Pelodiscus sinensis: one gene and its partner. The protein of the gene in region 2 interacts with the protein of the main gene of each other region in a pairwise test. Links are inferred from orthologs where the notes say so. Each region holds a gene or a part of one and is shown on either strand. Other genes may lie near its edges.

The links.
Region 1: the proteins of synaptonemal complex central element protein 1 (region 2) and WASHC3 interact in binary tests that used the Homo sapiens proteins (3 or more experiments, as listed by UniProt). The two-hybrid records come from large-scale screens. The link is inferred for Pelodiscus sinensis from reciprocal best matches to the Homo sapiens genes SYCE1 and WASHC3.

What each region holds. Positions count from the first base shown.
Region 1 is NC_134711.1:99,545,424-99,553,013, reverse strand, and holds the start of WASHC3 (WASH complex subunit 3), read right to left. Parts: upstream 3,093-7,590; 5' UTR 2,945-3,092; coding exon 2,690-2,944; intron 1-2,689. UniProt on the Homo sapiens protein: Acts as a component of the WASH core complex that functions as a nucleation-promoting factor (NPF) at the surface of endosomes, where it recruits and activates the Arp2/3 complex to induce actin polymerization, playing a key role in the fission of tubules that serve as transport intermediates during endosome sorting.
Region 2 is NW_027465846.1:151,307-159,207, forward strand, and holds the start of synaptonemal complex central element protein 1, read left to right. Parts: upstream 1-4,880; 5' UTR 4,881-4,981; coding exon 4,982-5,000; intron 5,001-6,530; coding exon 6,531-6,593; intron 6,594-7,116; coding exon 7,117-7,176; intron 7,177-7,668; coding exon 7,669-7,743; intron 7,744-7,901. UniProt on the Homo sapiens protein: Major component of the transverse central element of synaptonemal complexes (SCS), formed between homologous chromosomes during meiotic prophase. Requires SYCP1 in order to be incorporated into the central element.

The DNA.
Region 1 (7,590 bases), on a different chromosome or scaffold from region 2:
AGAGGCATAAAGATAACTGATTTTAGTGTTCTGTTTCACACCAAGCAAGAAATAAAACATTAGAAACACACTCTGAACTTTTAAATGGGGTTGTGTAGTATCAACTTTATAGCCCTTCTGACTAAACACAGATTTTTTTGGAATGGCCATTGATTTCTCACCCATATGCTCTCTAAACATGGGTTTGAGCCCTAAAATAGGGAGCCTTAAAACAGTGCAACATTGTATCCTGGCAGGACAATGGATGTTCCAAAACCAGAGTCCTGGTAAAGGGCTGGTGGCAGCAGGGCTACCCGCCAGGACCAGGAAGCCAGCAGTAGGTGTGTGTGTCTGGGGAGGAGCGATGGAGACAGCTAAGACCACTGGCCAGGCCAGGGCTGGGGGGAGGGTCAGTGGCAGGGGGATGTGAAATGACCTCCCCATGTCTAGCAAAACCCCTCATCCTGAACCAGTCAGGTCCTGAGGGTGCCAGACCAAGGAGGTCCAACCTGTAGTGACATAAGATGCCTGACCTGTATGTGACTCAGAAGCTAGGCTTCAATTGCCCTTAAAAAGACACTTAGCCTATGTCTACACTGCCCTCTCTTGTGCAAAATATGCAAATGAGGAAAGGCGGTGAATATCACCACACCTCATTTGCATACTTAATGAGCCACCATTTTTGTGCAAAAATCCCCTCTTGAGCACGAGACAGTCTGCTGCTTTTTTTGGGAAGAACGGCTCTTGCACACAAGGGGGTTTTTGTGCAAAAAGGAGCCGTATAGACATCTCCTTTTTGTGCAAAAGCCCCATGCGCAAAATGGCAGCTCATTAAGTATGCAAATGAGGCACAGCAATATTCACCACTTCAGCTCATTTGCATATTCTCTTGCGCAAGAGAAGGCAGTGTAGGCATTGCCTGAACGTTTGTAATGGACTTTCATTTATTTATAACAAAATTAAAGTTTAGAAAGTTTGTTTAGGCACATCACTAATGGTCACTACCTTTCACAAAAACAGTGTTGGTTTTTTTTGTTTGTTTTTAAAATATCACCAAGGCAGTCCCTAGTAGGGTGTGGGGGCCCGGAAAAAATCAGCCTATTTCTAATCTGCTGGGGGGAGGGGAGGGAAGAGGGATGCTCCTTCTGACTCTGCCCAGGTCTTGCCCTGACTCCATTCCTTCCCCAGTGCCCCACCTCCACCCTGCCTCTTCCTAACCAGTTTTGCCCCCTCTCCCTTGCACCTCCTGACAACCTGAAACAGCTGATTCCTGGCAGGCAGTAGGTGCTGCAAGGGGCCTGGCAGTAGGGGGCAGGAAGAAGAGGCATTGACAGGGACTAGCCAAACACCCAACACTTTTTTTCTTCCTCTGAGTGCCTTAGGTTAAGAGCACCCACAGAGTTGGTGCCTATGTCTGCTATTGCCAGAGATTAAGCCTGAGCACTGCACAACATTCACACACAAAGGGCAGGAGTAGTTGTCTCAACTTGCCATACCCAAGGGACAGACCTAACTATCACACAGAAGTACACTGGAAACCAAATGCAAAGGAGCAGAGAGAACAGAAATGGTCTGATTTTGCCAGCTTGGGAGGAACTGCTTCAGCTCACAGATTTTAGCTGGGAATGAGCTCAGAGCAATGACACAAGACACTTTGAAGTTGTGCTCCCCAAACACTCTGACAGCCATTATAGCAGTAGTTCTCAAACTTTTTGGCCCACTGCCCACCCCTCTCAATGCAAACCTTTCTGTGGACCACTAGCCAACTACCCATGATACAAAATGGGTGCAGAAGGGGGTGGGAAGTATGAGGTCTGGGCAGGAGAGAGGGGCAGGAGTGGCCTGGGCTAGGGGCAGGGGTCTGGGCTAGAATGTAACAGTGTAGTCAATTAACTGATAAGCAAAAGCTTATAGGTTAACGCTATAGACTACACGCATTTCCCTCCCCTCCCAACCAGTAAATCTTTTAGCAGGTTGACCAGCAGCCCAGCTCAGTTCTGGCTCACACCGGGTCTGTGACTGACCACTGCTGTGGCTCTCCATTTAAAGTGTAGTAGGAGCCAGGAAGACAGGCAGCCCAACTCAGTTCTGGTTCGTGCTGGGTCTGGGAGCTCAGACCGCCCCCTGCACTTTTGTCTCTTTATCAGAGGCAGCAGCACAGGGCTACAAGCCGCCAGTCCACAAGCAGAACTGGTTTTTAAACTGGCTCCCCTCACGGATAGTCCTGCCTGGCACTCTGCACAGCTTCTGGTCCCGCCCCAGCGACTATAGAATAGTTGACCAAGCAAGAAGAATTCATGAGGTTATTCAACTAACTGATATTTAACATCCCTAGTCTGGGCAATGAAGGGGGTGGCGGGGCCACTTCCATGGCTCTATGCTTCCTACTGTTCTCAGGCACTGCCCCCGCTACTCCTATTTTTGGCCAGGATTCCGGCCAATGGGAGCAGTAGGGAAAGCCTCCAGGCAAGCTATTTCCAATGTTGCCATTCCCCCAGCAAGAGAGAGGGGGAGTGGCAGTGCACAAAGCAACTTCGTACCCATGTGCGCCAGATCCAGCCTAGGCGGCTCAGGGCACTCCCCTCTCCCACCCTCCCCGCGGCAGGGAGCCAGCGCTGTCACTCCAACCTCACAGGGGAGGGAAGGTGCGCGCGGCTGCAGCACCAGGGAGAGGGCCGGGAAGGAGGGAAGCGCTGAGGCCGCGGCCCACCTGCACCACCACGCGCCGGCGACTTGCCCCAGCGTTCCATGAGCGGCCCACGCGCCAGCGGCGGCGATTTCCAACTGGAGACACACGAGCTCGGGGCCAGCGTGACGTCACTGGCGAGGGGCGCGAGACGGCTGCGCGGCCACAAAACACCGCAGCGCAGCTCCCCGACCCAGGCTCTGGCTTCACAAGCGAGGATCGAGCCGCAACTGTCCCCCCCCCCCCCGCCGCGGGGAGCGAGAGAAGAGAAACCGCCATCGAGCCGCGTCACACAGCCCCGGAACGCTCTGCTGGGGGGCGGGGCTACCCCGCGGGGGCCACAGGCGAGGCAGAGGGGAGCAGCCCCAGGGGCAGGGTCTCTTCCAACCCCCGCGCCTGGGGGGGGGGGGGAAGAGGGAGCGACTGGCCCCCCCCCTGCCTGGGGGTGGGGAGGCCGCACCTTGGTCAGGTCGATGCCGGAGCCCACGAGGGGCAGCCCGTCCTCGTCCATCCCCCGCGGCCAGTCAGGGAGGCGCGGCGGGAAAACGCGGAACGAAGTCACCACTGCCCGCCCCGCCCGGAAGCCGCCAGCACTCCGAGCCGAGATTAACCTCTCCCCCCGGATACAAAACCCGCTCGGCTGGGCAGGTCCGGAGACTGGTAGACTAGCCTATTGTCCCGGCGCCTGCGCACACGCTACCGGAGACTGCGGAAACGCCCTTCCCCCTTCATCCCCCCCCCCATTGCATCATGGGAATTGTAGGCGGGAGGGGCAGCGGCTGGCTCTGACTCTTAAAGTGGGCTTCAGCGTTCTCTCCCGCCACGTGCCTGCTACGCTTTTCCCTTTAGTGCCATCTTGCGGCGCCCACTGCCTGCGGGGCGGTCACACGCTCGCTCCCCAGAGGTTGCGCGCCACACTTCCAGGTTTGGATTTTTTAACCCTTGTCTATTCCAGGAGACACGCTGGATTTCTTCAGCATTAATCCACAATGTGTACTGCTGACGCAGCTCCGCAGCCCTGCCAGGCTGTTCTGACGCTCCCACTGAATAACTTCTTAATAGTCATAGCATCACATTTAAGAGCACGAGTTAAATAAATAAAACCCCATGAGCCATAACTCCAGCTGCACAAATGCCATGAAATTACAAGGGAGGGACCTACACAGTAGGCTTTTTATGTGAAGGGGAGTGAGGAAAGGCGCACAGGCCCCAGTTCAGAGATCCATCCCTATTCAGCAAAGTGCTTCCATACATGGTGAATTTTAGGCTCATGTTTAAATCCCACTCACCTCAACAGGATGCATTCAGCATTTACAGGTGCCAAGTCCTGGAGCATTCATAGTCATTTTTAAATATACATGGAGTACCTAACACAAAGAGGTAGCTCAATATATTTGACAAATATAGCCGGGGCTGGTTGCATGTCTCCTGGCTGGGGCAGGACTAGGTTTATCTGCCCCCTGTGCTCCCCAGCCAGAGGGAGGAATGCAGCAAATTGTACTTTCCCCTTACTCCCTTATGAAGGGGAACAGCCAGCAATGTTCCCATTAGGGATGTTAAATATTGGTTAATTCAATAGTCGATTAATCTCATGAATTCTTGTCGGTTAGTCGACTATTCTATAGTCCCTGGGTGTGGGGCTGGAAGCTAATGTGCCTCCTCCCCACCCACAAGGATCCCTCTGCCACTCCATACTGCTGCCTCTGTATCAGTGGCAGCAGCGTGGGGTGCCAGGTGAGATCTGGTCCACAAGGAGAGAGTTTAAAAAACCAGTTCCCCTTGTGGAACGGCTGCCTGTTGCCCCGTGCTACTGCCTCTGATACAGAAGCAGCAGCGCAGGGTGGCAGCAGCTTTGTCCAGGGGAGGGGCTGAGCTTCTGGACCTGGCATGAACTAGAACTGAACCAGGCTACCTGCCCACCTGGCTCCTAATACACATCTAATGCAAAGCTGCAGCAGGGTAGGTCCTGGACTAGGCACAAGCTAGGACTGAGCTGGGCTGCTGGCCAGCCTGCTAAAAAATTTACCTGCAGAGGGTAGGGGAGGAATGCATGGGGGGAGAGGGGGAGGCTTTAGCCACCCCTCCAAAGGATGCCCTGAGGAGTGGGAGGCTCAGGGCTGGGGCAGTCCCAGAGGAGCGGGGTGCACTCCCAGTCAGCTCCTTTCACCTGTCTGGTGATTGTTTGTTTTCTGTATGGTTTTATGAGAATCAATCTCATTCCAGGCACATCCAAACACTTACCTTGCTGTAAGTTAGGATAAGAGGAAGCTGTATACTGAATTTGGTGGTCTTATCTCTTACCATTCAGGAGCAGTTCTTGAAGACAGACAGACAGAGATGAATAGACAGACAGACAGACAAACTCTCAAATATACAGTAGTCACCCAGTATCTATATTTATCAAATATATTGAGCTACCTTTGTGTTATGTATCTAATGTATCTTTCAAAGGTGACTATGAATACTCAAGGGTTTAGCACCTCTAAATGCTGGGTGCTTAAAATGGTGGATATGAAAAAAATTGACTCATTTTTCCCCATAGAGCTTCTGCATAACTAGAGTAAAGAGGGTTCAGGTAAGTCCTGAAAAGCAGTGACTTTGTAAAGAATTTAGATACTCCATCCAGCTGAACATGAGCTCCCAATGAAATGCTCTCTCTAACATAAACCATCAGTATTTGAACAAGGAAGTAATGAGTCTCAGTCTGTGTCTACACTGGCGCGATCTCGCACAAAAGCGGCCACTCTTGCGTAAAAACTTGTTGCCTGTCTACACTGGCCGCATGTTCTTGTACAAGTAAACTGACATTCTAATGTATGAAATCAGGGCTTCTTGCACCAGAACTCTGATGCTCCCGCTCAGGAATAAGCCCTTTTGCACAACTGTTCTTGCGCAAGAGGCCAGTGTAGACAGGCAACATGAATTTCTTGCGCAAGAAAGCCCGATGGCTAAAATGGCCATCAGAGCTTTCTTGCGCAAGAGAGCGTTTACATCTCTTGTGCAAAAGCACGTCAGTGTAGACTCTCTCTTCTGGAAGAGTTTTTGCACAAGAACTCTTCCGTAAAAGAGTTTTTGCGTGAGAACGCGCCAGTGTAGACGTAGCCTCAGAGGGGTAACTGTGTTGTTTTTACAATTACAGACTAGTGAGCATTCCTGTGGCACCTTAGAGACTAACGAATTTATTAGGTCAGATAAATTGGAGATGAAATTACAGAATTTGAGGTATATATAACAGCAAAAGAAGTTACCTGTCAATTGTAGGACCAGTGTTAACTAAACTAATTAAGTGAAGGTGGATGTGTTTAATTCACAGCATTTGATGTGTAGATGCAAATATCAAAAGTGGGGAAAATGCCTTTGTAGCGTGTTAACCAGTTAAGATCTTTATTGAAGCATAAGTTGGTAGCATTGAACTTGTAAATGAATTCCAGTTCAGCAGTCTCCCTCTGTAATCAGGTGATAAAATTCTTTTGTATAAGGATGGCTACTTTAAAATCCATTATTGAATACCCAAAGAAGTTAAAATGTTTTCTTACAGGTTTATGTGTATTACCATTCCTGATGTCTGATTTGTGTCTATTTATCCGTTGGTGCAGAGACTGTCTGGTTTGACCAATATACATGACAGAGTCATTGCTGGCATATATCACATTAGTTAATATGCAGGTGTATGAGCCCCCAAAGCTGTGGCTTACATGGTTAGATCCTGTAATGGTGTCATTTGTATAGATATGTGGACAGTTGGCAGCACAGTGGTGCTGAGGCAGCCTCCCTGCCTGCCCTTGCTCAGTGCATCTCCAGGAAACAGCCAGCATGTCCAGCACTGCCTTTGCCCCTGAACGTTGGCTCCATAGCTCTTATTGACAATGAACCATGGCCAATGGGAGCTGTGGGGGTGGTGCCTCCTCACTCCTCTGCCTAGGATCCAGAACAACATTTTGGCACTTCTGGGAACCACCTGAAGTATGTATCACCCAGCCAGAGCCTCACCCCAAACTTCTTCCCACATCCTAGCTCCCTTTCAGAGCTATCATCCTCATCTGCACCTTAAACCCCTCATTCCTGGCCCCTACCCCAGAGCCTGCGCCCCTAGATGGAGACTTCATCCCTTCCCATTCCTCAATCCCCTGCCCTAACCCAGAGCTTGCTCCTGCATCCTGAACCCTCCATTTCTGCCACACACATTCTCTCCCCCCCACCCCCCACCTGTATCCTCACCCAGAGCCGTCCCTCCCAACTCAGCCCTCTGCCTCAGCCAGGTGAGAGTGAGTGTGGGTGAGGGAGAATTAATGATGGAGGGAGGGGGATGGAACAAGTAAGAGGTGGGGCCTCAGAGAAGAGTCAGGATTTCAGAGAAGGGGCAAGGGACAAGGCAAGGGTTTGCATTTAGAAAGTTTGCAAACCTAGCAGGAATACAAAATTTGGGGAAACTTAACCTTCCCCAATTTCCATTACATGTCACCTATGTCCTAGATATTTCAATTTGAGAACTTAAAAGGAATGGACACGTAGCAATTTCAACCTTCCCAGATCCCTAGCTGTATAAGAGGGAGAATACCATCTTACTTCAGAATGGGGTTGTGAAGCTATATTGGTTAATATTCGTGAAACAGAAACTAAAGTGATGAACACTATAGAGCAGTGTTTCATAAACTTTTTAAGACTGAGGAACAAAATTTTTTTTATGAGGAACACCAAGGATTTTTTTGTTGAGCAAAAAAAAAGTCCAGGGGAAAGTTATTGAGCAAATAACTCCAGAACACAGTTTAAGAGCATATTATTAATTTTTTAGTTAGGGCAGGCTTTGGGTAGACTGTGTGTAACAAGGCCTGTGTCCACATATTGAATGTGGAGAAAAAGAAATATCAAATAGCTTACCTTTTACTGAATATGGCAGGGATGTCATGAAAAAAATAGTATGTGAT
Region 2 (7,901 bases):
GGCATGACAAGCTTACACTGGCTCCTGTGGCCTGTTACGGGAAGGGCCTGTGCTGAAGGACTCCACCCAAATGATGAAGCTGGGTTTGTGTATGGCATCTCCTCGACGGAAGTTTTTCTTCTAGTACTTGGCTCCTTTCCCCGGAGCCTCTGTTCTCTGCTTCCCAGTGTGGATCAGCTGCCGGTCCCTAAGCAATGGGTTGCAATTGTGTTTCTCCTTCCTTTGGAAGAATTGTGGCTAATTGCATCTCTTGGCATCAGAGCCCGACCTGCTTTGAACCCATTTTTCTAACACTCTCTGCTCTTTAAGTGTCCTAGCCTGGAATGAACTTAGATTTCTTGCAGGACCTGGAGGTCTGTGGCTCATGTTTGATAATAGATTTAGCTGGGTGCTGTGTCTGGAAACAGCGGCTCATGTTTGCCAACCGATTTAAACTGGGCGCTGTGTCTGGAAACGGCAATATGTGCGGTGGAAAGGAGATTACTCCTTCATCTCCTCCTCTCCGTCCCCCGCACATGCTGCTCTCGATGCTGTAAATCGGAAATGGGAGATGCCCCCCATGTTGTGTTCTCTCTCCATGGGCTGGTTGTGTTAGTTAATGTCTGCACCAATGCACTCTCCTCTGTATTAATGTCTGCACCAATGCAGGGGTCTGTATTAATTTAATGTTCCCTTTTGGAAAGGCAGATCCTTTCACAGGAAGATTCAAAATGCTTTTTGAAAGCAACAGACTGCCTCTCTCCTTTGCTGGTGACAGCTGCGCCCTGCCTTACGGTAAATGGGCTGCCCCTTGGCTCTTTTCAGTCTCGTTGTCCATCCGGGCTGCTAGAAGGGCTGTTTGGGGCCTCAGCCGTGGGCTCGAGCCAGAATCTGTGGGATCTGCTTCACCCAGGAAGATCACCCCATGTCTCCGGAGAGCGAGCCCTGCCTGCATCTCCTTTCACTTGCATCTAGCTGCTCCAAGGAGACCTGGCGGGGTTGGGGAAGTGGAAAGTGTTTTCACATGCATGAGGCGCTGTGCCTGGAACCGGCGTGGCTGGCTGTCAAATGAGGTCTCTTCCTGGCTGGCTTGTGGAACTGAGAATCAAAGTCTTATTAAAAAGTTGTTTTGATGAGGGTGTATCTGCCTTGCTTGCTAGCCAGCACGGAGGCTGTAGCCATGAGGAGGAGGAATTGGTGCTTTCTAAATACTAGCTGTGTTGGGATTTCTGCTATAGGGAGCTGTGGATGCACACCAGAGGTCTTGTGTCGATTTTAATACGCTCACCTGTGGATATATGTCGGCTCACAGATGAGCTTGCCCCAAACGTTGTCACACTAACCCTCTGCCTGAGGTTGGCGTTTTCCATCCCGTCAGCCCCGTTCTTTTTGACAGGGGCGAGCAAGGCAAGATGTGATTCCAAATTCGCTGCACTCATTTTTCTCCTCCAGGAGCCTCTTTTCTTCTCGCTGTGTGTTCCACTTAGTTACAGGTGCAGAGGTGGTTATTCATATCTAAGTATTATACCTGCTGTGGGCTGTGTTCCTTCCGCAGCTGCTGGGCTCATTCAGAAGGGAGAGGTACACAAATTGGAGATAAATCGGGCACTAGTTCCAGCAGCGAACTGTGTCTTTTGGGCCAAACCTCTGTCGTTTCACGTGTGAACTGCTGGCGATGGAGGTATGCAACTTTATGGCAGCTGGGGCTCATCTTGCCAGTCAGTCCTTAGCACACGGTCGCTCTGTCTCCCATAAGGAGCACATAACAGGCAGCAAGTTCAGCCGCTCTTGAAGAGGGAAGGAGCGCAGCAAGGCATGGTAGAAAGGTTATGACCGATTCTTATTCACAGCTGTTTTTTCTGGGGTATTGCACCCTGGACCGCAGGCTGTTACTTGACTCTTGTGTGTGCTGATGTGGTGCAGAGAGAGCTGTTGTGCAGAAACGAAGCTACCAGCTGCGCTAGCAAGTTAACCTTGCTACTACAACATTGGAAATAGAAGCATGGACCCAACCAGAGTCCAAAATACCCAGGCGAGCCTCCCGGCTGTTATTTTAAGATGCAGCTCGCGCTCACACCATGCTGTAAGCTGTGTGCATGGGCTCTGCAGAAGGAGATGGGCCTGTGCAAGGAAGGCAGCTGCTGCCTGGAGAGGTCTGGTCCGCTATCCACCCCCGGGCTCCATGCACCAGGAATCTATCTGCACGGGTTGGGGAGGCAGAAACAAGCAATGGCCAGCTGCCTAGCTCAGGCTCCTGCACTTGTCGGGCCACTGAGGTACAGGAGCAGGCTAGGCCTCTGTCCAGTCACTGCCAGCCCTCGCGCATCGCTCGTTCCCTGCCAGTCGTTAGAGCTCCCTATCCCGTACCATCTTCCCAAGCCAATTACCCTCCCTCCCAGCTATGGCCCTTCTCTATGGGGGAGTCTCCCAGGCTGCTAACCACTAGCACATCCTCCCAGGACCCTGCCTTCATGGTGGAGCTCAAGGACCACTGGAGATGTCCTATGTGGGGGAGCGTGGATGTAATCTAGCCCTGTCACAGAAGGCTGGGATGAGCTTAGCCTGGTGTTGGGACAAGGGAGGAGCAGCTGCAGGTCCCATGCTCCAGGGTAGCTGCCTATGGTTCCCTGCTCTAACCCACTGGGACCCCCAAACTGAGTAGAGACCCCCCCACAGCCAGGGGGAGAACCCAGGAATCTTGGCTCCCTGCTCCCCTCCATAGCCCTCAGCCAGGAAAAGAACTCAGGAGGCTGGGCTCCCAGCCCCCCCACCCAGCCAGGGGGAGAACCCAGGGGGAGAACCCAGGAACCCTGTCTCCCAGCCCCCCCAGCTACGGGGAGAACCCAGGAGCCCTGTCTCCCAGTCCCCCCCCCCAGCCAGGGGGAGAACCCAGGAGCCCTGTCTCCCAGCCCCTCCCCCAGCCAGGGGGAGAACCCAGGAGCCCTGTCTCCCAGCCCCCCCCCCCCCAGCCAGGGGGAGAACCCAGGAACCCTGTCTCCCAGCCCCTCCCCCAGCCAGGGGGAGAACCCAGGAGCCCTGTCTCCCAGCCCCCCCCCCCCCAGCCAGGGGGAGAACCCAGGAACCCTGTCTCCCAGCCCCCCCCCCCCAGCCAGGGGGAGAACCCAGGAACCCTGTCTCCCAGCCCCCCCCCCCAGCCAGGGGGAGAGCCCAGGAACCCTGTCTCCCAGCCCCCCCCCCGCCCCACAGCCAGGGGGAGAACCCAGGAACCCTGTCTCCCAGCCCCCCCGCCCCACAGCCAGAGGGAGAGCCCAGGAACCCTGTCTCCCAGCCCCCCCCGCCCCACAGCCAGGGGGAGAACCCAGGAACCCTGTCTCCCAGCCCCCCCGCCCCACAGCCAGAGGGAGAGCCCAGGAACCCTGTCTCCCAGCCCCCCACGCCCCACAGCCAGGGGGAGAACCCAGGAACCCTGTCTCCCAGCCCCCCCGCCCCATAGCCAGGGGGAGAGCCCAGGAACCCTGTCTCCCAGCCCCCCCGCCCCACAGCCAGAGGGAGAGCCCAGGAACCCTGTCTCCCAGCCCCCCCCCCCGCCCCACAGCCAGGGGGAGAACCCAGGAACCCTGTCTCCCAGCCCCCCCGCCCCCCAGCCAGGGGGAGAGCCCAGGAACCCTGTCTCCCAGCCCCCCCGCCCCCCAGCCAGGGGGAGAACCCAGGAACCCTGTCTCCCAGCCCCCCCAGCCAGGGGGAGAACCCAGGAACCCTGTCTCCCAGGCCCCCCCCCCCCCAGCCAGGGGGAGAGCCCAGGAACCCTGTCTCCCAGCCCCCCCCCCCCCCAGCCAGGGGGAGAGCCCAGGAGCCCTGTCTCCCAGCCCCCCCCCCAGCCAGGGGGAGAGCCCAGGAACCCTGTCTCCCAGCCCCCCCCCCCCGCCCCACAGCCAGGGGGAGAACCCAGGAACCCTGTCTCCCAGCCCCCCCGCCCCACAGCCAGAGGGAGAGCCCAGGAACCCTGTCTCCCAGCCCCCCCCCGCCCCACAGCCAGAGGGAGAGCCCAGGAACCCTGTCTCCCAGCCCCCCCGCCCCATAGCCAGGGGGAGAGCCCAGGAACCCTGTCTCCCAGCCCCCCCCGCCCCACAGCCAGAGGGAGAGCCCAGGAACCCTGTCTCCCAGCCCCCCCCCGCCCCACAGCCAGGGGGAGAACCCAGGAACCCTGTCTCCCAGCCCCCCCGCCCCCCAGCCAGGGGGAGAGCCCAGGAACCCTGTCTCCCAGCCCCCCCGCCCCACAGCCAGGGGGAGAACCCAGGAACCCTGTCTCCCAGCCCCCCCAGCCAGGGGGAGAACCCAGGAACCCTGTCTCCCAGCCCCCCCCCCCAGCCAGGGGGAGAGCCCAGGAACCCTGTCTCCCAGCCCCCCCCCCCCCCCCAGCCAGGAGGAGAGCCCAGGAACCCTGTCTCCCAGCCCCCCCCCCCAGCCAGGGGGAGAGCCCAGGAACCCTGTCTCCCAGCCCCCCCCCCCCCCAGCCAGGAGGAGAGCCCAGGAACCCTGTCTCCCAGCCCCCCCCCCACCCAGGGGGAGAACCCAGGAACCCTGTCTCCCAGCCCCCCCAGCCAGGGGGAGAACCCAGGAACCCTGTCTCCCAGCCCCCCCCCCCCCCAGCCAGGAGGAGAGCCCAGGAACCCTGTCTCCCAGCCCCCCCCCCCACCCAGGGGGAGAACCCAGGAACCCTGTCTCCCAGCCCCCCCAGCCAGGGGGAGAACCCAGGAACCCTGTCTCCCAGCCCCCCCCCCCCCCCAGCCAGGGGGAGAGCCCAGGAACCCTGTCTCCCAGCCCCTCCCCCAGCGAGCAGTTAGCCCCTCCTCTTTGGAAGGGGGCGGGGCCCTAGCCATTGGAAAACACGGCACGAGCCCCGGAGGGGGCGGGGCCGCAGCAGCCGTTGGAAAAAGGCGGGAAAAAAGCGTAGGAGGGGCAGTTTCAAGGCTTCCCCTTCCACCCGCGGTGCGACTAGGCGCAGGTGTTAAGGCCCCCCCAGCTCTCTGGACACAGGGCCATGGAGAGGAGTGGACAGAGTGAGGGGGATGGGCGGAGGGGGCACAGCTCCAGCCCCACAGCGCAGGGCGCCCATGGCAGTTACATAGCACCAAGGGGGGCGTCCCACAGCGCCCTGCCCCCTCACGCCAAGGGGGGCGCCCCACAGCGCCCTGCCCCCTCACACCAAGGGGGGCGTCTCACAGCGCCCTGCCCCCTCACACCAAGGGGGGCGTCTCACAGCGCCCTGCCCCCTCACGCCAAGGGGGGTGTCCCACAGCGCCCTGCCCCCTCACGCCAAGGGGTGCCCCACAGCACCCTGCCCCCTCACGCCAAGGGGGGCGCCCCACAGCGCCCTGCCCCCTCACACTGGGGGGTGCCCCACAGCGCCCTGCTTCCTCACACCGGGGGGTGCCCCACAGCGCCCTGCCCCCTCACGCCAAGGGGGGTGCCCCACAGCGCCCTGCCCCCTCACACCAAGGGGGAGCGTTCCACAGCGCCCTGCCCCCTCACGCCAAGGGGGGCGTCCCACAGCGCCCTGCTCCCTCACGCCAAGGGGGGCGCCCCACTGCGCCCTGCCCCCTCACACCGGGGGGGCGTCCCACAGCGCCCTGCTCCCTCACGCCAAGGGGGGTGTCCCACAGCGCCCTGCCCCCTCACACCGGGGGGCGCCCCACAGCGCCCTGCTTCCTCACACCGGGGGGTGCCCCACAGCGCCCTGCCCCCTCACGCCAAGGGGGGCGCCCCACAGCGCCCTGCCCCCTCACACCAAGGGGGAGCGTTCCACAGCGCCCTGCCCCCTCACGCCAAGGGGGGGGCGCCCCACTGTGCCCTGCCCCCTCACACCGGGGGGGCGTCCCACTGCGCCCTGCCCCCTCACACCGGGGGGTGCCCCACTGCGCCCTGCCCCCTCATGCCAAGGGGGGCGCCCCACAGCGCCCTGCCCCCTCACACCGGGGTGGGGGGTGTCCCACTGCGCCCTGCCCCCTCACACCGGGGTGGGGGGTGTCCCACTGCGCCCTGCCCCCTCACGCCAAGGGGGGCGCCCCACAGCGCCCTGCCCCCTCACGCCAAGGGGGGCGCCCCACAGCGCCCTGCTCCCTCACACCAAGGGCGGGCGTCTCACAGCGACCTGCTCCCTCACACCGGAGGGCGCCCCACAGCGCCCTGCCCCCTCACGCCAAGGGGGGCGCCCCACAGCGCCCTGCCCCCTCACGCCAAGGGCGGTGCCCCACAGTGCCCTGCCCCCTCACATCGGGGGGCGTCCCACAGCACCCTGCTCCCTCACGCCAAGGGGGCGTCTCACAGCGCCCTGCTCCCTCACACGTTGGGCCACGGTACCCTTGTTGCCCCCACCAGGGACCAGCAAGCCCCCAATGCCTTCCTCCCACCAAGCAGGGGTTAGCGCCAAGGCAATCCCACAGTGCCCGTCTCCCTCGTGCCCTGGGCTGGATAAAGCCGAGTCCAGCCTGCAATGCCTTCTCTAGCCCGTTGTGGGGGCGGGTAAATCCCCAGTTACAGGCTCGGGGGGAATTCTCAAAGCAATTGATTTTTTTGTTTCCTCTTCCCAGTTCCCAGCAGCTTCACGCCCAAGGCAGAGGAGCTGCTAGTGCTGGTGAAACAACTGCAGGATGGTACCCACGAGCTGGGTGTGGTGTTTAAGCAACCGGGAATCAGGGTCCTCTCCCCAGCTCTGGAAGGAGATTGGGACACGTTGGTCGGGGGGGGGGGGGGCAGCTAGGCGCTAGGAGTCCTGGGCTCTGTACCTGGCCCTGCAAGGGGAGTAGGGTCCAGTGGTTGGGGTGGGGGGGGGGGGGGGGAAGCTGGGATTCTTGGGTTCTACCTCCAGGTCTAGGAAAGGAGTGGGACCTAGAGGCGGGGCGGGGGGGGAGGCCTGCAAGCCAGGACACTTGGGTTTTCTCCCCAGCTCTGGGAGGAGGGGGGCATCTAGCCTGGAGTCTGTAAGGGGGGGGCTCTTGTTCTTTTCCTGGCTCTGCCCATGACTTTCGGTGTGACTTCTCTGTGTCTCAGTCCCCTGCCCCTCCGTAAGCGGAGCCAGGAATAACCGCTTCCCCCCCGGGCACGCTCCAAAGAGCTGGGGGTGAAGGACCCTTGTCAGGAGCACAACCAGGCAAGCCCTTCCCCTTCCCTCCGCAGCAGGGACACTGGAGCCCCGAATGGACGACCTGGTAGGAAGGCTCAGGAAACTGCAGCGAGGTGAGGGGAGGGGAGGGGAAGGGAAGGGAGAGTGCTCCCGTTACAGCCTGTTCCCCCGCACCCTCATTGCCGGGACCGTAGCACTGCCCCCCATGTCCCCGCCAACATTTGAATTGCTAAATAGGGGTATGTCTACACTACCGCCCTAGTTCGAACTAGGGTGGTTAATGTAGGCAACCGAAGTTGCAAATGAAGCCTGGGATTTGAATTTCCCGGGCTTCATTTGCATATTGCCGGGCGCCGCCATTTTTAAATGTCCGCTAGTTCGGACTCTGTGCCCACGGCTACACGCGGCACGGACTAGGTAGTTCGGATTAGGCTTCCTATTCCGAACTACCGTTACTCCTCGTGGAACCCCTCTGTCTACCCCTCCCCACGTACACCCCTCCGTCTATCCACCCCTCCTCATTACACACCCCACCTCTCCAGCCCCAAAGAAGTCTCTCTCTCTCTCTCCTCACCTTCCCCCCAACCCGCTTGGTCTTGCCATAGCTAAGCAGGCTCTGAGCCAGGAGCTGCAGGACAGCCAGGCGCGCAGCAAGGAATTGCAGGAAGAGCTGGAGGAGCGTAAGTCACCCCCGCCCGGCACGGTTCCACGTTGCTCCTCAGGTCATTGGGTCGGATTCTCCAAGGAGCCTGTCTCCTGCCGGGCCGCGGCTTCCTGCTTCGTATCTGCGGGTCACTGCCTCCGTGGATGTGGTTGCAGAAATCCGGGGATCGTTTCT